Linked DNA regions of Drosophila melanogaster. The protein of the gene in region 1 interacts with the protein of each later gene in a pairwise test. Each region holds a gene or a part of one and is shown on either strand. Other genes may lie near its edges.

Evidence for each region.
Region 2: the proteins of egg (region 1) and SERCA interact in a two-hybrid assay, tested with the Drosophila melanogaster proteins (one study listed by BioGRID).
Region 3: the proteins of egg (region 1) and AMPdeam interact in a two-hybrid assay, tested with the Drosophila melanogaster proteins (one study listed by BioGRID).

Annotation. Positions count from the first base shown.
Region 1 is NT_033778.4:24,773,335-24,782,305, reverse strand, and holds egg (eggless), read left to right. Parts: upstream 1-2,404; 5' UTR 2,405-2,492; coding exon 2,493-3,431; intron 3,432-3,489; coding exon 3,490-3,607; intron 3,608-3,678; coding exon 3,679-3,962; intron 3,963-4,015; coding exon 4,016-4,271; intron 4,272-4,333; coding exon 4,334-4,839; intron 4,840-4,897; coding exon 4,898-5,659; intron 5,660-5,730; coding exon 5,731-6,447; intron 6,448-6,505; coding exon 6,506-6,712; 3' UTR 6,713-6,772; downstream 6,773-8,971. Other genes in the region: TyrRS-m (Tyrosyl-tRNA synthetase, mitochondrial), read left to right, coding at 1-40, 99-287, 346-506; CG3594 (uncharacterized protein), read right to left, coding at 596-1,348; Lcp9 (larval cuticle protein 9), read left to right, coding at 1,937-1,948, 2,005-2,271; Eps-15 (epidermal growth factor receptor pathway substrate clone 15), read left to right, coding at 7,333-7,398, 7,493-7,729, 7,801-8,564, 8,623-8,944. UniProt on the Drosophila melanogaster protein: Histone methyltransferase that specifically trimethylates 'Lys-10' of histone H3 (H3K9me3) in ovary. H3K9me3 represents a specific tag for epigenetic transcriptional repression by recruiting Su(var)205/HP1 to methylated histones.
Region 2 is NT_033778.4:23,928,267-23,938,468, reverse strand, and holds SERCA (Sarco/endoplasmic reticulum Ca(2+)-ATPase), read left to right. Parts: upstream 1-2,584; 5' UTR 2,585-2,644; intron 2,645-2,788; exon of another isoform or gene 2,789-2,889; intron 2,890-4,384; exon of another isoform or gene 4,385-4,560; intron 4,561-4,728; exon of another isoform or gene 4,729-4,778; intron 4,779-5,024; exon of another isoform or gene 5,025-5,654; 5' UTR 5,655-5,684; coding exon 5,685-5,802; intron 5,803-5,877; coding exon 5,878-5,895; intron 5,896-5,980; coding exon 5,981-6,063; intron 6,064-6,139; coding exon 6,140-8,311; intron 8,312-8,370; coding exon 8,371-8,486; intron 8,487-8,550; coding exon 8,551-8,787; intron 8,788-8,851; coding exon 8,852-8,969; intron 8,970-9,037; coding exon 9,038-9,238; 3' UTR 9,239-9,354; downstream 9,355-10,202. Other genes in the region: CG3735 (uncharacterized protein), read left to right, coding at 1-1,001. UniProt on the Drosophila melanogaster protein: This magnesium-dependent enzyme catalyzes the hydrolysis of ATP coupled with the transport of calcium.
Region 3 is NC_004354.4:13,835,394-13,842,383, forward strand, and holds the start of AMPdeam (AMP deaminase), read right to left. Parts: upstream 4,619-6,990; 5' UTR 4,378-4,618; coding exon 4,173-4,377; exon of another isoform or gene 4,169-4,172; intron 2,706-4,168; exon of another isoform or gene 2,592-2,705; coding exon of another isoform or gene 2,459-2,591; intron 2,365-2,458; coding exon 2,220-2,364; intron 973-2,219; exon of another isoform or gene 53-972; coding exon of another isoform or gene 1-52.

The DNA of each region.
Region 1 (8,971 bases):
ACTCTGCTGGCTGAGGACGTGACTCTGCTGGTTCATGGAGGTTGTACTCTATATCATTGTTCCTTTATATCAGTAGTATAGAAGTTTTCAATTCACAGAAAGTGGGCTGAAGCAGGCGGAACGTGTGACCAATGCCTTATACAAAGGCAACGTGGAGGGTTTAGCGGAACTCAACCTTTCCGAGATCCAGCAGACTTTTCAGGGTGCTACTATGGTGAACCTGTTGACCGAGCCAGGAATGTCCATCCTAGAGCTCGCCATGAAGGCGAAGTGCTTTCCCACGGAGAGTAAGTTATCTTTCTCTTTGGAAATATGGGGCATAATCGATTTGTGATCACTCTTTAGCGGATGCTGTACGCATTATAAACGCAGGCGGATTTTACGTTAACCAGAAGCGGGTGCAGAATATCGCCGAAGTGCTAACTACGGGCGTGCACATCCTGCGCAACGGAATTTCTCTGCTGCGCGTGGGCAAACGCAACTTCTATATTGTGCGCTGGCAATAGTTAACAGTAAACCTCTTATCCGGTAATGTTAACTTTTAATTGTTGTTAAATAATCATAGAATGGCTTACATTGTAAGAACTTATGCTATTTATGTGGGTCTGGGGGCGGGCTTTTTGCGCCACCGCTTTCGCGCCAGCATTTCCTTGGCCTTCTCCTTTTTCAGGTCCTTGTCGTAAAACTTGCCGCTCTTCGTGAAGGTCTTCTGCTCGTTGCGCATCTCGGCCAGCTTTCGGTTCTTCTGTTTGATGATGTTCTTCTTGTTGGCCGACTTCTTCTTGCCCGCCTCGGAGATCTGCACCTTGATGTTGCGTCCCTGCAGCTCTGTGTTGTGCAGCTGGAAGGCATTCTGGAAACTGCTTAGGTCGGCCATTTCCACAAAGGCGAAGCCCCCTCGTCGCTTCTTGGGAATGCGGATAGACTTGACCGTGCCTGCCGCAGAGAAGTGCAGCTCCAGGTCGTCCTTTGTGGTTTCGAAGTTCAGGTTCGTCACGTACAGGACGTGTCTGTTGGTTTTGGAGGCTCCTCGAAGCAGTGAACTCAGCTGGTCACTGGTTATCTGCCCATTTTCCGCAGATTCCTCTTCCTCGGCTCCGGAAGCAGCACTGCCCTCAGCGGCTGCCTCGTCGTCGGACTTGGCCTCATCCTCGCTCTTACTATCCTCCGGGTCACTGGGATTCCGTCCGTCCTCCTTGTCCACATACGTGCCCTCGAAGATCTCCCTTCGCTTCTGGTCATCGAAGTTTCCCAATAGATCCGCACTGTCGTCGTTGACTGTGCGTTGAACTCGCTTGGGATTGAAGAAAGCCTCCACCTCATAATCGCTGCCAGAATCACTGGCCATCGTGATATTTCTGGGGGAGATTGCAGTGCACACCGATACGCAGACACCACCACGTGGGATTCCCTCTGAATGGCAAATCTGTGCGGTCCCAGACATTTTCCAGCACTGGCTAATTGCGCGCCAAGAAATTCAAATCCCAGGCCATATTGCAATCGCAGCTTGTTAGAAACCGGTTGCAACTGCGGGAGCAAAATCAGACTGCTAATGGAGTTATGCGAAAATAATGCTAATCGGCGTTAGCATCGAAGGAACCGGTTAGCTCTTATCAGCTAAAAATTAATCGTGCGGTGCTGACAATTGATGAACGTGGTTGTTTTGGGAATCTTCCGCACAGATCTCCAAAGATAACCCCCCGAATATGATATGCCGAGTGGGGCGATAATTAATGCCTGCAGAATGACTGCATCTATGTCTTTTGTTTAATTAAGACAAACGACCGCTGGGAGCCAGTTATGAAGAAAATTTATGCAGTTGGTGATTCCGGCCGGTAAAATGTCAGTGGAGAGCTACATATAAAAGCGCAATTTTCGGCAACCAGCAGTCAAAATTTTATCGCTATCTATCAGCACACACATCCCCTTTCCAACCATGAAGTTTGTGGTAAGTGGCATCGAAATTAGATTTTGGGGACCTCTGAACAACGATTTGTCTTTTAGATCGTTCTTGCCTGCCTTTTGGCCGTGGTCTTCGCCAACGAGGAGGCTGATGTTGTAAAGAGCGACTCCGAGGTTAACTTGCTGGACTTTAACTACGCTTATGAGCTATCCAACCATATTCGCGCCGTGCAAACTGGAGCCTTGAAGGAGCACGACAACTGGGTGGTTTCCGGGGAGTACGAGTACGTGGCCCCCAACGGCAAGACCGTCAAAGTGGTCTACACCGCCGATGAAACCGGCTACCACCCAAAGGTCGTCGAGGCCTAATGAACAGGACCCACTCCCGAAGACCGAAATAAAAAATTAAATCCATTGCAGCAGCGAACATTTTGAATTTCCGTTCTTTTTCTTTTGTGTGAATAGACACTCTTCTTCTTTCTGCCACTAAAATCTAGGGCTGGCAAATTACGAGCGAAATTTTATACAATGTTATCGCTTGTCTCGCAAATTTGCATTAATGTGTAAAGTTAAGTAAACTCATTAAAACTATGTCTGGGCAGCCAACAGCCGTGGACTGCTTAGAGAGCAGTGGAAGCACAGTGGAGGATGTCCAAGAAACACCGGCGTCGAGGGAAAAAAGTTACGGGTTGCCGGTGCGCAAAGGAGAAAATAGCTTGGAGTCTCCTGCAGAACAAGCCGCAAAGGATGTGGAAATTGAGGAACTGACACACAGTGAAGCAATCGCCGCCACCGGTTCAACCAGGAAGCAGTGCCCATATGGAGGTAAGGCCCCTGATGAACCTGGAAAGTTGGCCGACGAATCGGAGGACCGCAAGGGAGAGAACACGAAAGCCATTGCAAGCAGCCCGGTTTTGGTAGCTGTGGATTCGGACAGCAGTGTTGAGCTAATAGAGAGTCCTGTCAAATTCTCCTCCGCCAACGAAAGTGAGAAAGATCCGCCAAAACCAGATGCTGTCAATGAAGCTGCGGCTAAAGAGGCCGAGGAAATGACTGATAGCAGCATCAGCAGTCCCACATCCGAAAGTTTTCCTGAAAAAGATGAAAAGACCAATAAGGAAAATGAGCAAGAACCTCCTGGCATGGAGGTAGATCAGGACGTCGAGGAGTCAATAAGTCGACCAGCAGAAGAATACAAAATTGAGAATACATTAAAAGGTCACAAGCGTATTAGCTTAACGGAAATCGAAGAACACAAAATTGTTGATAAAAAAGACGATGTCCTAGAGGTGGAGCTTGAAAAGGGCACTGCTCCGAAAGCTGCAGAAGACGAGAAGCTGAACGCTTTGTTATCAGATGGAGATGTCTTCTACGACAAGGAATGTGTCAACTGCAATTGCACAAAGCTTCATAAACAGTACGTGTTGGCTAACATGGCCACTTTAAACTTTTACCAGGTGCTCCGAAAGTCTTCCAAGCAGCAGTTCCTCTGCATGGGATGCCATGACACAGCAATGGACTTGTATGAGGTCAACTAGCATATTTATTAACTTAAGAGGGAAACTTAGAACGTATTTCTTTATTTAGGAGTATGCTGGACAACTAATGGCCAAGCAGCCGCTGCTGCTAAAGGATTTCCATCAGGATCACGCCGACTTTGTGGCTCTGGACAGCAGCGATGAGGAGGAAGAGGAGAAGCAGCCAGGTGAGACTGCTATCATGATAAATAAACAATAGCAAAAAAAAAAACGTACTAAATATATTTTATCCGCACAGAAAAATCGGACTTTTCGAAAAACAAGCTGCAGCTCATCGAAGATGAACTCGATGATGCCATCAAAAATGTACTTAACAAGGTGGATTTTACGGCTCAGCTGTCCTGGTCAAAAACTATTCTCCAGGCGAAAGCAGACCACTTGGAGCGACAATTCGCACTGGCAGATGTGGAACTCGAAAAAGTTCAGACCACCGCTGACAAAATGCACTGCGCTTTGTATAACTCGTGTCCGGTGGCACACAAACATCTGCCCACCCTGGACATTGAACCCAGTGACTATGTGGTAAGTAAGAAGTGATGCCGTTTGGATCTGATTTAATACAACCATTTACTCAGCATGAAGTTCCACCTCCTGGCGAAATCGTGCGTCCTCCAATACAGTTGGGAGAGACATACTACGCTGTTAAGAACAAGGCTATTGCCAGCTGGGTGTCCATAAAGGTAATCGAGTTTACAGAGAGCACCGCCATCAACGGAAACACGATGAAGAGCTACAAGATTAGGTACCTCAACACTCCGTACCAGATGATCAAGACAGTGACGGCCAAGCACATTGCCTACTTCGAACCACCGCCAGTGCGACTGACCATTGGTTAGTTCCCAATAGACCGGTTATTTATCAATCTATAAACTAACCCACTCATTGTGCACTAGGTACCCGCGTGATTGCGTACTTCGATGGCACCACTTTGTCGCGGGGCAAGGATAAGGGCGTGGTGCAGAGCGCCTTTTATCCAGGCATCATCGCTGAGCCGTTGAAGCAGGCCAATCGCTACCGCTACCTAATATTCTACGACGATGGGTACACTCAGTACGTTCCGCACCGCGATGTCCGTCTAGTTTGCCAGGCTTCCGAGAAAGTGTGGGAGGACGTACACGCCGCATCGCGCGATTTCATACAGAAGTACGTGGAGAAGTACTCCGTGGATCGTCCAATGGTGCAATGCACCCGGGGACAAAGTATGACCACTGAATCGAACGGGACCTGGCTGTACGCGCGCGTCATTGACATCGACTGCAGCTTGGTGTTGATGCAGTTTGAGGGCGACAAAAACCATACGGAGTGGATATACAGGGGTTCATTGCGCTTGGGTCCTGTCTTCAGGGAAACCCAGAACAATATGAACAGTTCAAGCGCACAGCAGCTGCGTGTCCCAAGAGTAAGCATCGTGTCGATTCATCCTGCGGTCCTAACTACAAAATGTCTTTCTTTTTCAGCGCACGGAGCCCTTTATTCGGTACACCAAGGAGATGGAGTCCAGCAGCAAGGTGAACCAGCAGATGCGTGCCTTTGCCCGCAAGAGCAGCGCCTCCGCCCAAAATAACGCATTAGCGGCTGCATCTTCGGCAGCAACCCCAGCCGGAGGACGCACCAATGCAGGAGGTGTCAGCACCAGTAATAGCGCAAGTGCTGTGCGACACCTAAACAACTCGACAATCTACGTGGACGACGAGAACAGGCCCAAGGGCCATGTAGTCTACTTTACAGCCAAGCGGAATCTGCCTCCCAAAATGTACAAGTGCCACGAGTGCAGCCCGAACTGCCTCTTTAAGATCGTTCACCGTCTGGACAGCTACAGTCCGTTAGCGAAGCCTCTGCTTTCTGGCTGGGAACGTCTTGTCATGCGGCAGAAGACCAAGAAGTCTGTGGTATACAAGGGACCTTGTGGCAAAAGCTTGCGCAGCCTGGCCGAAGTTCACAGGTACCTTCGAGCTACTGAAAATGTGTTGAACGTAGACAATTTTGACTTTACGCCCGACCTCAAGTGTCTGGCCGAGTACTCCATTGATCCCTCGATCGTGAAGGACACGGACATTTCAAAGGGGCAGGAGAAGATGGCGATTCCGCTGGTAAACTACTACGACAACACCCTGCCGCCCCCATGCACCTACGCGAAGCAGCGCATCCCTACCGAGGGTGTTCATCTGAATCTGGACGAGGAGTTCCTCTTGTGCTGCGACTGCGAGGACGACTGCTCGGTAAGACGTCTTACAGATCTGATTACCTCAAATTATACCCAGCCGCCCACTATTTTGTGTATCCCTATCAGGACAAGTCAAAGTGCGCCTGTTGGCAGCTAACGGTGGCGGGCGTGCGGTACTGTAACCCGAAGAAACCCATCGAGGAGATAGGCTACCAGTACAAGCGGCTCCACGAGCACGTGCCCACCGGCATCTACGAGTGCAACTCGCGCTGCAAGTGCAAGAAGAATTGCCTGAACCGGGTGGTGCAGTTCTCCCTAGAGATGAAACTGCAGGTGTTCAAGACCTCAAATCGTGGATGGGGCTTGCGCTGCGTTAACGACATCCCCAAGGGTGCTTTCATCTGTATTTACGCCGGCCATCTGCTCACGGAGACGATGGCCAACGAAGGCGGACAGGACGCCGGCGACGAGTATTTCGCGGACTTAGATTACATAGAGGTCGCTGAACAGTTAAAAGAGGGATACGAGTCGGAGGTGGACCACTCGGACCCGGACGCCGAGGAGGACAACGGGGGACCCGATGCCGAGGACGATGACGACTTCCGGCCAAACTATCACTACCAGCGCAAAATCAAGCGCTCTTCCAGAAGCGGCTCCACGCAGAACAGCTCCACTCAGAGCAGCGAGTTGGACTCGCAGGAGCGTGCGGTGATCAACTTTAACCCAAATGCTGATCTGGACGAGACGGTGCGGGAGAACTCGGTGCGGAGGCTTTTCGGCAAGGACGAGGCGCCCTACATCATGGACGCCAAGACAACGGGCAACCTTGGACGCTATTTCAACGTGAGTTGGAAGTTTTTTGTTATTTTGCCGTGTGGCTGATTCTCTTCTTCTCCCGCAGCACTCGTGCAGCCCCAATCTCTTCGTGCAGAACGTGTTCGTGGATACTCACGACCTGCGTTTCCCCTGGGTTGCCTTCTTCTCGGCCGCGCACATCCGCTCCGGCACCGAGCTGACTTGGAACTACAATTACGAGGTGGGCGTGGTGCCCGGCAAGGTGTTGTACTGCCAGTGCGGGGCCCCCAATTGCCGCCTTCGTCTGCTCTAAGTTCTAGCTTAAGTTAGAGATCCATACAGGAAATATACTCATTAAAGAAGAATTAGAATTAAAAATTTAAACTTTAAACATTATCTGTTCCGTTAGGGTAACGGAAACATTGCATTTTTATAAGCTACTGCTGTTCTGCACCGTCCGTTTCAAAGTACACAATTTTCTTCACGTTTAGTGTTAAAGGAATAAATATAGACAAATGAATTTTAAAAAATTATACTTTAAAAAAATAATAATGTTCGTTAATTTAACGGTATTAATTTATGTGGTATTTTAACGCATTTTACCTAGTGGTATACTTAATCATCAGCCGTACGGTATTTTTAATCGTTATCCGAACGGTCACACTATCCACCGAGCAAAAAAGCAAATTTAGGCTTTTTAAAATTCGAGAGTAGCTAAATTAGGGGCCGCAATGCGCCAAGCTCACCTGTAAGTGGCTCCAGCAAGTGTCTCGTCGCAGGTGCACAGGTGCTAGGCAGCAGGACTCCGCCGACGGCTGACTAAGAGCAGCTTATCCGCCCCTTGGGAAGAAAAAATCGATTTTGTGATAACGGGCTTACGCTTACGCGTTTTTGCACTGCTAGTCGGAACCAATTGCCAGTAGACTCCACACCATGAATGTGGACTTTGCGAGGGTGTGCGGGAAGCACATAGGCGTCTACGAGGCCTACTACAAACTGGTAAGCGCACCACGCCTCCAAGCCGCACTGTTACCAGGATGGCGGCCAATGTTGAGCATCCGTATCCACACCCACCCTCTATCGATTTTTGCAGATTGACCCCAAAGGCACAGGGGCAATCGAGGCCATGACTGCGGCCAAGTTTCTCAAGAAGTCGGGCCTTAGCGACGTTGTGCTAAGCAGGATCTGGGACCTGTCTGATCCGAGCGGCAAGGGCTTTCTGGACAAGCCGGGCTTTTTTGTAGCCCTTAAGCTGGTGTCCCTGTCGCAGGCGGGACAGGTGGCCAGCATGGCCAACATCTACCTGGACATTGCCAACCCGCCCAAGTTGGTGAGTAATCGCAACTTCGCCCGAAATGGGCAAGACGAGATATATTACATTAATGTCGCCCCAATCGCCAGGGTGAACTACCAAAAACGATGCCGTCGCGTATTCAGACTGTTCCCGTTGCTAGCGGCGGAGTGGCAAACGGAGACTGGTCCATCGGGGTGATCGATCGGCTCAAGTACGAGCAGCTCTTCGAGTCCCTGCATCCCAGTAATGGAATGCTGCCGGGCAACAAGGTTAAAGGCGTGCTCATGGACTCCAAGCTGCCCATGAGCATACTGGGAACTATATGGGACCTGGCCGACCAGGACAAGGACGGCAACCTGGATATGCACGAATTCGTGGTTGCCATGCACCTGGTCTACCAGACGCTGCAGAAGCGCACCATTCCTAGCGTTCTGCCGCCCGAGCTGCGAAAGCCCGGAGGAGCAGGTCCGCCACCGAAGCCAGCCATGCCACCACCGCCAGCGGGTGCTGCTATGCCACGTGCTCCCAGTGGGGAAGGATTTGGGGACGGCGGATTTGTAGCAAATTTTCCCAAGGATATAGCCCCGCCGGCGGCTATTCCGCCGCTCCCGGTGGCTGTGCCCCCCATGACGCGCATTCCCCCGGTGGGAGCAGTCAGCTCTCAGCCGCTGATTCAGACGGATCCATTGATACCGATTGGGGCTCCGGTGATGGCGAATGCCGACTGGGTTGTCACCCCAGCGGACCTAAAGCGGTTCGAGGAGATCTTCCGGCAATCGGATCTGGATAAGGACGGCCTGGTCTCCGGCCTTGAGGTGAAGGATATTTTCATCAAGTCGGGTATTCCGCAGCGAAGCCTAGCAGACATCTGGTAGTTATTTCGTATATAGATATTGCCAAAATATCTATAACGATGCCTTTCCTTTTAGGGCTCTTTGTGACACCAATCAGTCCGGTAAGCTGACTGTGGAGCAGTTTGCACTGGCCATGTGGTTCGTGGAGCGAAAGCAGCGCGGTGTGGACCCGCCACATGTCCTCAACGCCAATATGGTGCCGCCCTCAATGCGCGCCACTGTGGCTGGAGTCGATCTGCAGCCGCAGGAGGTCAAGCCCACTTACTCAAACCCGGAGCTGGAAATGATCTCCAAGGAGATTGAGGAGTTGGCCCGTGAGCGGCGGGTTCTGGAGACGGAGATTGCCCAAAAGGAAGCGGATGTGCGCATCAAAAACGGCGAAGTGCGCAGTTTGCAGGCGAGTCTTCTGTAACTAGTTTCCAAG
Region 2 (10,202 bases), 850 kb from region 1:
ACTTCAAACTAGGTATTCGTTTTACAAAGAAAACCATGTCCCTATTCTCCGATATGAACGCATCGGACATGTTGATCGCGTCTCCCTTGGGACTGAGAATGCTGGTTACGGACAAGGAGAGCGATTTTGACTTTTTGAACTCCATTGAACTGCTGATAATCGACCAAGCCGAATTGTTCCTGGCGCAGAACTGGGAGAACCTGCTGCACTCCCTGGACCACCTGCACCTGCAGCCGCAGAAGCTGCCCGATACGAATTGCCAGAGGGTACGAACGTGGTGCCTGAGTGGAGCGTCAAGTTTCTACCGCCAAACCCTGTTCTTCTCGTCCCACGAGCTGCCCGAGTTCCGGGCAGTGTTCAACAGCAAGTGCAACAACTACCAGGGAAAGGTGCGAGACTCGAACCTCGTCGAGCACGGAGACATCCGGAACGTTCTGACTCCAATACATCAGGTTTTCCGCCTAATCAATTGCTCCAGTGTGGAGACGACCTTCGACGATCGGTTCCAGTACTTCGTCAAGAATATTATGCCCCAATTCAGTAAGCCCGGTTTCTCGCACTGTATGCTATACGTGCCCAGCTACTTTGACTACGTACGGATACGCAACCATTTCAAGACCGAAATGGTCAGTTTTGTGCAGATAAATGAGTACACCAAGAAAGAAAAGATTTCCCGGGCGAGAGATATATTCTTCCACAGCGGGGCATCTGTTCTGTTGTACTCGGAAAGAGCGCACTTCTTCCGGCGCACGCGGATTAAGGGCATCCGGAACTTGATCATGTACCAGCCGCCCAACTTTCCGCACTTCTATTCCGAGATCATCAATCTGATGCTGAAGACAAATCAAAATCCGCGCGATGGATTTGGGGACGAAATGTCCGTCAGTATCCTGTACACAAAGTACGATCTGCTAAGCTTGAGTAACATTGTGGGCAGTGAGAATGCTGCGAAATTGACTTCTGGTCAAAAGGATTCCTACCTTTTCTCCACCAAAACGTAAATGCTTACACGAGAGCTGACTTTGAAATATGTACATATTTAGTTGTCAATTAGAATATACTAAATGTTAACGCAAGTAAATAGTAATGTATGTGATAACTTTCAGTTGTGGCTCTATTTTTGGACCTAAATACTTTCGTGACGTAGAGATTTTAGGAGGAACTGGCTAGGTGATTGATCTGATGTTAAGGGTGGCGATGTCTTCTCTTTGTTATTACGCAATTTGAAATTATGAAAAAATGAATAATTGGCAAATGGTTGTGTAATAAGAGGCAGCATAAGTAGTGTTTTGCCGATTGATGAAATGATTCAAAATGCATTTGAATTCAATATATTTTGCCTGTTTTTACTTTAATATCCCTTTTTTATAAAGGAAGATTGGCCAGAGCATTATGCAATAAAAGTTATCATTTATAAGGCAATTAAGTGTTAAAAAACATTATTTTGCAGTTTGTATTTGTTTTTAAATGATCACTTCGCTTGATTGCTTGAGATTGCTGGAATCTGGAACCATTACCATATACCGAGTTCCTAAATAGACAATATCCAGCGGTTGACAACCGCATCAAACCCAGATTTGCCAGTCCCAAAATAAATCAAAATTCCTGGCTGCATTGTCATTTATCAACATTTTTAAATATACACATAGGTAGCTTATAAAAGTTCTGGCCTAGACATATAGAGGTAAAATAGTAGCCAAATGCATATTTATGGGGGTCTCTGTGAAAAGTCGTAATAGCTGCTGCACAAGGCGGATGGCTGATGGCGGATATCATACGGCAGAAACGTGTGCGGAGAGCGCTCTTGCCAATATCTGAGAGTCCGAGTCCGTAGGGGCATTACAAGCCTATAAATAAAAATAGTCGACGGCTGCCAGTCTCTGCTGAAATTGGGGAAAAAGGCAGAAAAGCCAAACGAAGAACTAGGGGTTCGCAGGCCGACTGGTGGATGCTCTTTCAGCTGTTAATGGATCGAGATCAACTAGATTGAGGAAATGAGTATTTGGGCTGGGATTTGGGATCTGTTGTATTTGCCAAGGACAAGTAAAATATTCAAAGGGCAGCAGCTATGGATAACTATGATGGATTCTAGCTCGGCGAAAGTGGAATGCGTCAGTGCCAGTGCCATCATTCCCAACCATCCCCCCACCAAAGGACCCAAGTCTTGACCCACTTGAAGTGGCTGACACCGAAGGTAGAAACACCTTTGAGTGACAAACCCTTCCACACAACCCAGCATAATTTCCCCAGATTGGTTTAAAAATACCACTTTCTAAATATTAGACAAACACACGTGCATTTCTCGGAATACGTCTGCACTCACACTCCCAGGCACATCCACATCCACAACCACATCCACGTCCACAAGTGATCTCGCATCGCCACATTGCCATTGCTCTAGACTTTCGTGGCCGTGCGCTCCCGCGGATCCGAGATCGGGCGGCCATATGTACGTATGTATGTATGTGGATGGGGAGCTCGTGTGCCCGTGGTATTGTGGTATTCCCACCTATACCTAGCCACATATACGAATCTCTGGGGGACCACGGTGAATCTGCCTCGTCGAGGTACGAACGAGCTGCACGAGCAGATCTGAACCGCCACCATTCGAATTCGGATCGCATTGGATTGGATTGGATAGGTGGTAAGTGCTCAAAAGTTTGTGCGTGCTAAAAGTATTTTCCCGGGCCAAAATAGAGAGTGTATGTAGTTTTGGGAATTTTGCCAAAATATATGAATTTTGTAATTCAAATAGACACTCTCATCGCGCAGCGTTCTCCTTGCGTTCAGTTGCCGTTGATCGTTATAATAGCGCGATCTTTGTGTCTTGGTCTTCCGACTGAAATAAATTATTATATAATAACGGAATTTTTGCTAGGAATAATAATTGTAAGTTTTGTTGATTTTCTGCAACAACTGCAAAGCGAATACGCCAGTGAATTACTCCAAACTGCCAAAACCATTGGGTAAAGCAAATAAACCCCCCTAAAAACTATCGAAAATTCGTCCGCGCGCTTTCAAAAGAAAAGAAAACCTGGAAACCAAAAGTTATTGAAATGCCTACATATCTACATACGAACATGCTTCTTACACTCGAAAACCGTGCTTCAAACTCAAAGTGTTTGCCCCCAGTTTACTTTGCCACCCTGGAGCTCGTCCAGAGCTCGTAGTTCGATCTATCTACATACATGAAATATCCGTAAGGGCGACGATTCGGCGGTGACCTCGACCTCCGGATGGTATCGAAAATTTGAATGTCACCAATACGAGAGCACTCCACGAATAGATTCGATCCGACACAGATGTAAAGTTTTCCAAGTGCCCGAGATCTATGTATCTGTGATTGAAAATCTGGTTATGCAACCACAACCGCAACCGTGGCGAATATATTCGTACCCAAATTCGAAAGATCCATGTCTTGTACTGTACCTGTAGCCCTTGTAACAAGCATAGAACACACGATCTCTTGAACTCCTTAACTACCCGCATTCATAGCTTAATGGTGGTTACATCGGTTAGTGAATTTGACTGCCTTTCAGTTGCAAAAGATCCCTGAAACCAACAGACAGTTTTACAGAAACGTGTAGCTCTATAAGTACATTCAGCCCAGGATCATGGCCCAATCATTTGTACTTATTTTTGAACCCACCCACCCACTATTATACAACCCATCGGTGGACTTGTCAATCAGAAATTCGGATTCGGGGACGTGGGAAGCAGCATATCGCACAAGTGTCGACATCCATTAGCATGGAGATATCTCTGCTCGCAATATCATAAGCCGTTAAATCGTACATATAACCGCGCAGAATAGGAATCTTTCTCCCTACGATCGTCTCTCTGTATATGTACTCAAACTTATTTATGTGGTCCTAGTACATATCTTTATATCTACGAGTGTTCAGAATTGAGCTGTATTTTTCGGGTGCTAGGACTCTATTTTTAGCCCATCTCGGACAGAGGCGATTTTTTGCTCCATAATGCACACACACATGTGTATTTTAGGGGTATATATAGGCTATATGCATGAAGATGTTTTCGAAACACACGTCTCTGTGCTCAAAATATAAGTAGTATTCGAGCGCATTGATTGACAGTTTTTTGAAAACTAACGCCTTTTGTGGGCGGGCAACTGGTGGAAACCTCGTTATCAGAAGTTACGTATGTAATTCTGTGACGTAGCCAGCGTAATATTCAAGTATTATGCGAGTTGGCTGCCGTTCAAAATTCCCCGTATGGCCTGATTCTAGTGTCTGGTCGCGAAAAAGATTAAAATTAAAATTTAAAAATGTCGCTGCTGGCGAATACCTGGCACCCAGATCTATTTATTGCGGGCTCTTGATCTCGATCTCATTAATTTGAGCACAAAATGCGCGAAAAGAATAGTGTTGCTTGTTGTGTGGCCAAAATAGTGCGGATGTCTCTGTCGCTTGCCAAGTGAAAATATGACAATGTATAAATAAGTTTAAGCATTCGTGATAAGGATTTCAGTTCGATTTACACCACAGAAGGGAGTAAAAACATTTGGTTTTCGATCGCAATAACAACTTGATTTATAAGGTTAGAGGTATTTTCCAATAAAGAAACTTTCCAGCACAGCTGAATTCCTTCGAAACTTTGATTAGTTTTAAATTCCTATATCACCTCAGCTATCGGTATTACTGAACACGGAAACTCAACAGTTAGCCATCGCAGTTGAGATTCTCAGTTATCGATAACGCCGGCTATCGCAGTTTAGTAGCACAAATTGAACGCGTCAGTAGAAGCTGAGCTAAAAGGTGGGATAATTATCTAATAATTGCCAGGACTGAGAATTCTTAAAAGTTGGAGAAAGAGGCAGCTCTGCACAAATAACGTAACTCGGACGATATACGTTTTCAGTCAGCCCTGTCTTGTGCGAATAATGTCGTGTCATAGTGAGGCAGAACGGCGATAGGCAGTAAATCGCGGCTTGGTACTTAGTGCAATAGTTATCAGCACACATATTCAGAAAAAAGCGCCATGGGTTATATTATATAGAGAGTCAGTGGAAAAAAGTACTTAACACACGCAGTGCGTCGTTTAGCGAGGTTAACGTAGGAGCAGAGCACCCGTATTACGGACCAGATCCCCCAATCCCCCGCAGAAACTGAGAATAGAAAAACGAAAACTGCGTCTGTTGTGCGAAGTGACACGTGTGTGAATCTCATAAGCGGAGCGATTTGGCCAGGGTAACAGCCCATCATAGTAATGCAATATTCCAGCATATTCTCCGACCCGATCCGCACAATCCGATCCTAAGTTGGCGCGATAACTGCGCGACTTTAGTGGCCAGTCCGGGCCCGATCAGAAGTGCCTGAAATCGGGGAATTAGCATGTAGCACCTGTGTATGTGCGTATGTTGGAAAGTACCCGTGAGCCGAGTGCCGTGCACATGCACATGTACGACCACTTATTCAGAACCTAATGAGGTAGTTTTAACTGCAAACGTACATGCCAGTACAGATGTATGTGCATACATACGTGCATACACACTTGCTATTCCAGTCAGTCGTTGAATAGAGCCCAGAAAACGGCAAAATAGCTAAATAGCCCTGCCAGAGAATTAAAATGAGCCCCTTGCCTTGTGTCTACTTTCAAATCCCCACCTGAATCGCCCCGGAATCTGGACACAGGCCACTGAACGAAGAGGATAACGAATCAAGATGGAAGACGGTCACTCGAAAACCGTCGAACAGTCCCTCAACTTCTTCGGAACGGACCCCGAGCGCGGCTTAACCCTCGACCAGATCAAGGCTAACCAGAAGAAATACGGACCCAATGGTGAGAGTCGCGCGTAATTCCCCTCCACATTCCGAGACCGAATCGACTGACGTGTTTGTTTTCTTATCGTTACAGAGTTGCCGACTGAGGAAGGTGCGAACACAACCCGAGCAGATCCCCTGCCCCCCACCCCCACTTCACTGTATGCATACATTATAATAACGATTGTATTCCACAGGAAAGAGCATCTGGCAGCTGGTCTTGGAGCAGTTCGACGATCTGCTGGTGAAGATTCTGCTGTTGGCAGCCATCATCTCATTTGTAAGTGCAGCAGCACAAAGAAACCCACCCTCAAAAACTTAGTTACGACCACACTCTTCCCCTCTGCAATCCCCAGGTTCTCGCCCTGTTTGAGGAACACGAGGAAACGTTCACTGCATTTGTAGAGCCCCTAGTTATTTTACTTATCCTGATAGCCAACGCCGTGGTGGGAGTATGGCAGGAGCGTAACGCCGAGTCGGCCATTGAGGCCCTCAAGGAGTACGAGCCTGAGATGGGCAAGGTGGTGCGCCAGGACAAGTCCGGCATCCAGAAGGTGCGCGCGAAAGAGATCGTGCCCGGTGACCTGGTTGAGGTGTCTGTCGGTGACAAGATCCCTGCCGATATCCGTATCACCCACATCTACTCGACCACCCTTAGGATCGATCAGTCCATCCTCACCGGTGAGTCGGTCTCCGTCATCAAGCACACCGATGCCATCCCCGATCCCCGCGCCGTCAACCAGGACAAGAAGAACATCCTGTTCTCCGGCACCAACGTCGCAGCCGGCAAGGCCCGTGGCGTCGTCATCGGCACTGGCCTGAGCACCGCCATCGGCAAGATCCGTACTGAGATGTCCGAGACCGAGGAGATCAAGACCCCCCTGCAGCAGAAACTGGACGAGTTCGGTGAGCAGCTGTCCAAGGTCATTTCCGTCATTTGCGTTGCCGTGTGGGCCATCAACATCGGCCACTTCAACGACCCCGCTCACGGAGGCTCCTGGATCAAGGGTGCCATCTACTACTTCAAGATCGCCGTCGCTCTGGCTGTGGCTGCCATCCCCGAGGGTCTGCCCGCCGTCATCACCACCTGTCTGGCTCTGGGCACCCGCCGCATGGCCAAGAAGAATGCCATCGTCCGCTCCCTGCCCTCCGTGGAGACCCTGGGCTGCACATCTGTCATCTGCTCTGATAAGACCGGCACACTCACCACCAACCAAATGTCCGTTTCCCGCATGTTCATCTTCGACAAGGTTGAAGGCAACGACAGCAGCTTCCTCGAATTCGAGATGACCGGCTCCACCTACGAGCCCATCGGCGAGGTCTTCCTCAACGGTCAGCGCATCAAGGCTGCTGACTACGATACCCTGCAGGAACTGTCCACCATCTGCATCATGTGCAACGACTCCGCCATTGATTACAATGAGTTCAAGCAGGCCTTCGAGAAGGTCGGCGAAGCCACTGAGACCGCCCTGATTGTGCTGGCTGAGAAACTGAACAGCTTCAGCGTGAACAAGTCTGGCCTGGACCGCCGCTCGGCTGCCATCGCCTGCCGCGGTGAGATCGAAACCAAGTGGAAGAAGGAATTCACCCTGGAGTTCTCTCGCGATCGTAAATCCATGTCCTCGTACTGCACCCCCCTGAAGGCTTCCCGCCTGGGCACTGGCCCCAAGTTGTTCGTGAAGGGCGCCCCCGAGGGTGTTCTAGAGCGTTGCACACACGCCCGCGTTGGCACCACCAAGGTTCCTCTGACCTCGGCCCTGAAGGCCAAGATCCTCGCCCTGACCGGCCAGTACGGTACTGGACGCGACACCCTTCGCTGCCTGGCTCTGGCCGTTGCCGATAGCCCCATGAAGCCCGACGAGATGGATCTGGGCGACTCCACCAAGTTCTACCAGTATGAGGTTAACCTGACCTTCGTCGGTGTTGTGGGCATGTTGGATCCCCCCCGTAAGGAAGTTTTCGATTCCATTGTCCGCTGCCGTGCCGCCGGTATTCGTGTTATTGTGATCACCGGCGACAACAAGGCCACTGCCGAGGCTATCTGCCGCAGAATCGGTGTATTCGCCGAGGATGAGGACACCACTGGCAAGTCCTACTCGGGTCGTGAATTCGACGACCTTTCCCCCACCGAACAAAAGGCTGCCGTCGCCCGCTCCCGCCTCTTCTCCCGCGTGGAGCCCCAGCACAAGTCCAAGATTGTTGAGTTCCTGCAGAGCATGAACGAAATCTCCGCTATGACTGGTGATGGTGTGAACGACGCCCCCGCCCTGAAGAAGGCTGAGATCGGTATTGCCATGGGCTCTGGTACCGCCGTCGCCAAGTCTGCCGCCGAAATGGTGCTGGCTGACGACAACTTCTCCTCCATCGTGTCTGCCGTTGAAGAAGGTCGCGCTATCTACAACAACATGAAACAGTTCATCCGCTACCTCATCTCTTCGAACATTGGTGAGGTCGTCTCCATCTTCCTTACTGCTGCCCTTGGCCTGCCCGAGGCTCTGATTCCCGTCCAGCTGCTCTGGGTTAACTTGGTACGTCTTGATGGGGTATTTACTACTTAAAATGGTTAGTAATAGGTACTTGGTCACAGGTTACTGATGGTCTCCCAGCCACCGCTCTGGGCTTCAACCCCCCTGATCTGGATATCATGGAGAAGCCCCCCAGGAAGGCCGATGAGGGTCTCATTTCCGGATGGTTGTTCTTCCGGTGGGTTACTCAAAAAGCACACATCCTTTAATCGGTATTAACTTGGCCTCAATCGAACTTTTAGTTACATGGCTATTGGATTCTATGTCGGCGCTGCCACCGTCGGTGCCGCCGCCTGGTGGTTCGTGTTCTCTGATGAGGGACCCAAACTGTCCTACTGGCAGCTGACCCACCATCTGTCCTGCTTGGGCGGTGGCGACGAGTTCAAGGGCGTTGACTGCAAGATCTTCAGCGACCCCCATGCGATGACCATGGCTCTGTCCGTGCTGGTGACAATCGAAATGTTGAACGCAATGAACAGGTGAGTGAGATAACGAATGATGGACGGCACGATAGATACGAACCGATCGCCTTTGTTTAAACAGCTTGTCCGAGAACCAGTCGCTGATTACCATGCCCCCATGGTGCAACCTGTGGCTGATTGGATCAATGGCACTCTCCTTCACTCTTCACTTTGTTATTCTTTACGTCGATGTCCTCTCCGTAAGTATTTGGCAATGATAAGCCCTTCTGCGCCGCGGAAACTAATGCCAGTATCGTTTTACCCACAGACCGTCTTCCAAGTGACACCGTTGTCTGCAGAAGAATGGATAACTGTGATGAAATTCTCAATTCCTGTAGTTTTATTAGATGAGACATTGAAGTTTGTTGCTAGAAAAATCGCAGATGGTGAGAGTCCTATATATAAGATGCATGGGATTGTGTTAATGTGGGCTGTCTTCTTTGGCCTGCTGTACGCTATGATGCTTTAAGAATATAATTATAATCCATAAGCCCAACTTCATTATTCTAATTTCTAGTATAAAATGTTACTAAATATAAACAGAAACAAGAACCCACAATTATATACATCTAACGTAACGACTTTAACCCCATGAAGTTTGTTCCCAACTGCAACTACTGATTTCCACCCGGTGTCACAGAATTGACTGGTGGCACCAAAAGATGGGCCGACTGACTCGCTCCTGGCTTTTGGCTTTGAACAAACAGCGTTAAATGATCAATATTTTCTATGAGCTAACGATTTATCTAACACGCGTATACCCTACCCTATAGATATCTGTGTTTGTATATTACTATATTAAATTTAGCAGGATTGCTTTTTGTACATACAATGCTCTATATACATAAGAAAGTTCCACACCGGCACATTCGAATGCATTAGTTAGTTTTCGTCATTTAATTTCACCGGGTTGCCAAAAGAACCGTGTAGGGAAATCCAAGTCTCTGGAAATGAGATGTCTGTTTGTATTGAACCAAACTTTTGTAACTTAACCATTTCGTTTCTGTGTTTAGTAACTGGAATACTAAAGTGTAGGCTTAACTATGCAGAAGAACAAAATTTTTGTTTAATCCCATTAAGTAGAACCCACAATACCCATAACCTTTCCAAGTCGAATCTGTGCGTTGATGTTTAAACGATTCCACCAAGCGAGCGTCCTAATGTTTCAAGAGTATCGTCCTATCCCTGGGCTTGTTTAACGTAATTGAATCCATTGAATCCCCCACGAGTATTTACCGAATGCAAATATTGGTTCGTTCATTCCATTACTGTAAGAATTTTATTGAGCACAAGATATTAAGTAGATAATGACTCCCCAGATCTGGGCGTGGCGCCGCAACAGCGTCTCGGTGTCCATTTCCGTCTCCATTCGTATTGTATTGTATGTACATGTATGAGCAAATGATTAGGATCGGGTACATAAATGGCGATCG
Region 3 (6,990 bases), on another chromosome or scaffold:
GCTGATACTCGTAGCAGCGACCAAAGCTATAGCTATCATCCGCGAAGGACATCCTGCCTGGACTGGTGACCACCGCCAAATGGAGCACTTCGCCACGGGTCTCTCTTCACTTTGATGGCGATGGAGATAGGGTAATGATCGATTGGTGAGTTGATTTATGGCAACGCAAAGCTACCGATTGTCGCTAATTTGCAATCCAGCACGCTATTTAAGATACCTCTTGCAACACCCAAAAAAAAAAACCCAATTCAAAGTTGCCACAAATTGCGTGCCTTAACACAGTATCTAAGCTAAATTGCTATGCTTCGATTGTCCTTTGTCTGGTGAATAAGCTCTTGAACTTTATATCTAAGATAACTGCTACTTTAAAAATAATTACTGAACTCTTCAGAAAGTATATCTGCGTGTAATCTTTAAAGGGTACACACTCTAAGAACAACTCTCTAGAACTTAAAACTAAGACTTAGTTGCAATATCACTAGATTGGCAGATAATGCCACTCCAAAATTGTCAAGTCTTCTGCAACATTTGTATATATATGTATATAAAAACCCGTCACTTGGGGATTTCCCCTTTTGCTTTTGTTAACTGGCGTGCGAAACCTGTCGGAATTCTAAGTTTATGCCAAAAAAAAAAAAAAAAAACTTGAAGTGTCCGTGCGAGTTGGAAAGTTTTTGCCAACGCCGCTTCTTGGCTTCTTTGCCACTTTTTTTTTTATTTTATTATTTTTTTTTTGAGCGACGCCTGGCGTGCGACACGAACAACAATGGTTGGTGAATTTTAGTGGGACAGTGGGTGGCTATAGATGGGCTAGATGGCAGTTCGATGGCTGGTTTTGCCTATTAGGCGGGCTCAATGTCAGCGGAGGTCGCACAGGTAGTGTAGTACAGTGTAGTGCCAGGTGGGTAACTTTGGGCCGCGTTTCGCGACGTTGAGCTGCCCGTTTATTGGATCGGAGCGTACTGAAAGTGACGGCATCCGCGCCAGAACTCAACCGTCGCTTGCAGTGGTTCTCCTGGCGGCGGTGCTGATGGTGGTGGTGGTGGTTCATTACGCCATAAGCCCTAGCACCACCACCATAACCACCACTACCGGCTCGATTTTAGGCGGCTTGGGCGAAAGTCCATCACCTCCGTCATGGCTGTCTGTCTAATGCACTTCCATTCAAAATCAAAACGTGTTCTGCATCGGTCCACACTTTCCCCGGCCAAAAATGAAAATCCAAACAGCAACCGAGATCCGGACTCTGGCGGCAGACATAAACCCACTTTGGATTACGCCCGGGAATCTACATACATACATTCACCGCCCACCTGGCAGACTGATAATTGCAACGCCTACACATTTTGTGGCTGCCTCATTACGGGGCTATAGAAACTGCTCATGATTGAGAGCCAAGCAGACTGAAATGCGTGCAAATCCTAAGAATATGTTCAAATATAAAAAAAATATATTTCCATCTATTATGAGATGTAAGATCCTAAGATATGTTCGAATTACAAAATATTCAAAGAAAATATTATCATTTATTTTGAGATGTAAAAACATATTTTCATATGTTTCCCAGATAAGATTTGTTTTTATTTTTGTCCTCTTTAAAATTTCTTTGTTTGTTTAATAGAGATTTTAGCCTTGAAAAAAATCTAACCTTAATATAGAAAAGCTGATAAGGACTCAATCACGAGATCTGTGAACTCGCCGTGTTTTTTGTCTGCTTTGCATGTAAAGTAAACAAATCTAAAGCGAAGCAGAACCGATTTAGGTTTGGATCTGATTACTATAACCGAATAATGGGGATTTGAAGACATATAATTTAATCTATATATATATCTATGTAAATTATGAAGATATATTTACAAACAAAAAGTACATAGTAAACTTCAACTGTCGTTTGTTATTTTAAAAATGAAAGTTTGCTTTTCTATATATTGTGTGAAACTTACATTTTGAAAGTGTAGAGCTTCTCTAAAACGTATTATATTTTATTAAATGTAGCACGTAAGACAGGTTGTAAGTCCTATTAATAACTGATTAAACTGTAATATGTTACAGTTTCCAATAGCAAATCACTAAAGTTTTGCTGATAAGTGAAAAATAATCAGGTCTTTCTCAAAATCCAACAATTTAAAAGTATAATCTCTCAAAGCTAAATTACCATTTAATTTTAATCATTATGGGAGCATCTTTATGATATATGTATATTGGTTTCTAACACTCACTTTTCATTGAGATGGCGCTGGATTTGCAGCTTCTTCTCGATCTGTTCAATGGGAAATTGGGGCACTTCATAGGGCGCCGAGATCTCGTTGGTCACCTCCACATCAGCTTCGGCCTTCTCATCCACCGGTGAATCGGCGAGATCACCTAAGAAATTAGAAAACAATCATATTTATAGGGATTCAAATTAAACAGGTAAAGTTATTAAGTTATAGATCCCATTGTGGTGCAAAACACCTACTGAGATCGTCCGATGAAATGGTGGGCGTGGAGGAGGCGGTGCCTTTGTCATTTAGCTGATTTCCCATCGATCCCCCATAAAGTCGAACATCGACGCGCAACCGATGGGCGGTATCCATGCGATTGAAGTTCATGGCAAAAAAAAAAATGAAAAAGTGTACAGAAAATGCAGAGAAAACCCGGGAAATCGGAGGATCGTAGACAAGGTTGTGTTGTGAAGTAACTTGTTCGAGAGTTGTCGCCTGAATGAAATTGGAAAACGTCGAAGATCGGAGAATTCCAGGCCGAGATCTACCGACGTCGACAGCGACAGCGACTGAGACTGCGACTGCGACTGCAGCAGAGGCGCATCATCTTTGGAGGCACAAATAAATAATAAAAAAAATAAAATTAAACGAACTAAAACATTGACTTCCAAGAAAACAACCACACGGAATTGATTGGCGACTACAAATTGGGCGAACAACAAAGTTTTACAAAAAAGAAGGGCACTGAAAAATATTTACATATAAGCTTAGATTCACTGTGAAATTATTAATCCGAACTAACTGATATTCAAGATCATTTGAATAGATCACTTGGATGTTTGGTAATAATTCAAATATAGATTATAATAGCTAATATTATTTATTTTAATTGTTCTTTTATATTTTTTTTGCAGTGTAAAACAGCACGAAAGAGACGGAAATGGAGGAGAGAGGGATTAGCGGAGATAGCAAAAATACTGGCAAAATCAAAACACGCACTCAAAACACAACAAACTAGATGAGGAGACTGATTAAAACGATCCGAAGTTGGAATACACTTCAAGGTCACAAAAACAACAATAATCTCCTATCATCAAAGGAATAAACCCGCCGCAAAGAATCATATTTAAGTGGGCTAATTATCTTAACTAAAAAGCTTATTATTCCACAAGGCACCGGGATATATTCGCAGAAACTTGATTGACGCAATCTAAACTGATTTATTATCATTTTATTTTTGTATATTTTGAAGTATGTATCTTAAGAAACCCAAGTGCTATACCACTTTACAGGGTATTATAACTTTCCTATATTTCTATATGGGTTAGTGCGACTCAAGAGATGTTGCGACTGATTGGCAGCGCAGCGACAGAGGATTAGCGCTACACTGAAACAATGCAGTGGTACATACAATAATAAATGAATTAAACAATTTTCAGGCAACTGATGCGGCTTGTGGGCAATATTTGCTTAATAAAACAAGCATTGTTAACAAGTTAAGAAGTTCTTAAATACAGCTTGTAACCAAAGATCATATCTGCATCCACACAAGGCATTTCTTCGAGTGTAGCGAACCGTGTGAGTTATTGCTACAGGTTTTTTTTTTGTTTTGAGTGAGAGTGCTTTGCTGTGTGCGTGGGAGAGTGAATGTCATTTGCTTTCTTTTTGCAGCAGAGAAAATAGAGAGAGAGAGAAAGACAAAGACAAAGACATCGAAAGAAAGAGATGTACAAAGAAACATTCAACTTGGTATAATATTGTAATAGGTAAGCGATGATTTGCAAGAAATAAGTTAGCCCATCTTCATTGATTTAAGGCCATACGTTTTGCTACCAACTGGACTGCTGTGTTTTCGCGCAGTGCACGAGGTCAGTGGGTGGCGGTTGGGTGGTTCGTGTGGCTCGTGTGGCTTGTGTCGTCGCGATGCATTCACTTACATGGGCAGCGGCTGGGGAACTGGCGACTTACATGTCGCCCTTAGGGAACTCGGCTTTTGGGGCATGGACATGGAGGTGCAGGCGTTGAGGGACTTGCCGCTGGCCTTGCTGCCCAGCGGACCGGCCGCATTGGTGGCCGCATGGGACATCATCGATCCGTCAAAGGAGTCCACATCCTGGACGCGCAGCTCGACGGGCGAACCGTCCGAGGTGCTCAGCATTCCGCGGTACGACATCTCGGCAATTGAGATCCTGGATCCTGGGATCCTGAACGGTCTATATTGGCTAACGGCTAATCCAAATGAGTGTTTCGTGTTGATTTGTTTCGATTTTTCTCCGATGTTTACTGATTTGTGTGTTGTGAAAATCTTGAGTGTTTGTGTTTTTTTTATTTTTGTTTTGTTTTTTATGTAATTCCCCCGGTGACAGGTGTCGCCGCTCTGCTCGATATTCTGCTCTGGGGCAATGTCTTTGGGCAACTGTCGGTTCGGATCGGTGGAATATATATACCGCCCGCGATCGACTGCACTTAATTTAGTTTGAATTCCGTTCGACGCAATTCGCGCATCTCCTACGCGTCTGTCTTTCGCTTTTTTCTTTGTCTACGCCTCAGTATTTTCCTCTGCTTTCTCTCCTCTCTCACTCTTTATATAGTTTCACACCTCTCCCGATCCCAGCGGATCCAAAGTTTATATATCGGGTAAAGTTGGTAGGGAGCTTTCTAGTCACTAGCAAACACGGCTGCGGCACAAAGCTCGGAAAGCCCACAATGTTTGCTAATTATAAACAATATTTTGGATAAACAAACTGCATATAGCCACGCCGAATGGGTGGAACGCCAAAGGGGGTTTTCAAGATCAAAGCTCTTCGAACCCAGTAAAAAAAATAGATATATACATATGTACAAATTAGACGATTAACAATATGGCATCGTCTCTAACTTTAACCTCTTCTGATTAGCTAAGAATGGGCATGTGATTTAAAGGACTAACAGTTTTTCCATTTATTGAAATTCGGAAAAACGACTTTTACCAAAAATTTGATATTTACAAACCGAATTTTCGTCATAACTTTGGTAAAAATGGTCATATAGATAAAAGAATACCTGTTTTGAGCAGCTAATTACCAATGCTAACTAATTCTATCACTTTTTGACGAATTTTGGAAAAAAAATTTTTTCGTAAATTTTTGCATTTTTTGTAAGGGGTACCATCATCAAAATTTGCAAAAAATTGCAAAAAAATGGAATTCTAACTTTTAAATACAGTTTGATTGGAAATTTAATTACGAACTCAACGATATATGACATTCCATATTTGGAGCACTAATTTTCAAGTTTTGGTCAAAAAATGGATTATTTTTATACCCAAATTCAAAATTTTACCATTTTTGTAACCCAAAATTTGCGAAAATGGCAACAATTTAGAATTTTTATATTGAAATACTAAATGAAAAACTACTTTTCAAACTCAGCGAGGTACGATACATCATTTTAGGTAAATTTGTATAAATAATTTGGCCAAAAGGCGGACCTTATTGGTCAAAAATGCATTATACTGTGCCACTCTTTAAATTGATTATGGAATTGGTTATTTCTCAACTTGAAACCACCTATATGCTCATTTATCATTGTCAAATACATAATTTCTGCATAATACTTGTAGACCACCAAATTAATGATCCATTTTGGCGATGTTTCGATCGAATCGATCGACAAGTGATAAGTACGATAAGGCTGCCTCCTTGACACACCACTTCAAATTCGTAGTTTGCTATTCCGTATTCTAGTCTGGTAACTTTCCTCTATTAGGAGGGCTCGGCTCGATTTGTTTAACGCCCTGTCAGAAGTGGCTTATCAATAGCCCCCAGATGGGAGCCAAAATTGGAATTGGAATTGGAATTGGCAATGGAGTATCGGTATCGGTGGTTAGCGGTGGGTTGTTAATAACCCATGTGAAGTTTTTTCAGCTTTTTTTCTTTTTTCTTTGATAGCTTCATAGGCCAATTGGTTTGTTCAACCTGGTGGTATTGTGCGCTTTTCGCCATGTCTGCAAGTCATTGTCAGTTCATTTGCCTTATTTGCCGAGTGTGCGATATGCAAACATTCATACATATACTATGCAAATATATATGTTTATGTATATATAGATATATATATTCATATGTATATATTGAAAGATGGGCATTCTTATAGACGTGCATATATGCGTTTGTTTATCTGTTGTACGTTTCAATTTATTATTCGATTGTGCTTAAGCTCATTTCATTTTATCTCGTTATATTTTTGGCAACGCTCTTTGTTTTGTGTTTATTGACCGAATTGCGAACTTATTAATTGCTGCGTTCGGGATTTTCGTGTTTTTTTTTAAATTTTTCTTGGGCAAAGTGCCCGCTGAGATGGCCACTATTGATTTTCACATGAAAATATGGCCGTGACTTGCGTAATGGCAGCCAGGAAAAGTCGGCAAAAGAACGACTTTAGCCGCGGCTTTACTTTCGACTTTCCGTTCGATTCGACTTCGCGCCGACAACTGATTCTGATTTTCCACTCAGTTTTGGTCGGTTTGATTGGAAAATCTGCCACACGTATATGTTATAATAAACAGTTTTATTTGGCATGACTATCTGCATTTAGTCTTGATTTCCGCCGTCGGAAAAGTAAGAGAAAAGCCAGTCGGAAAAGAGAAGGCTGAGCGTAAGAAAAGCCAAGAGAGTCGGCATTTGTTTTGTCACAAATAAATCATTTAGGGGCTTAGAACGATACAGGTACATATGTACATATACATATATATGATTGTATCCAAAGGGGTGGGAAATGCAGTATTGTTTTCTATTTGCCGCTCGCCTTT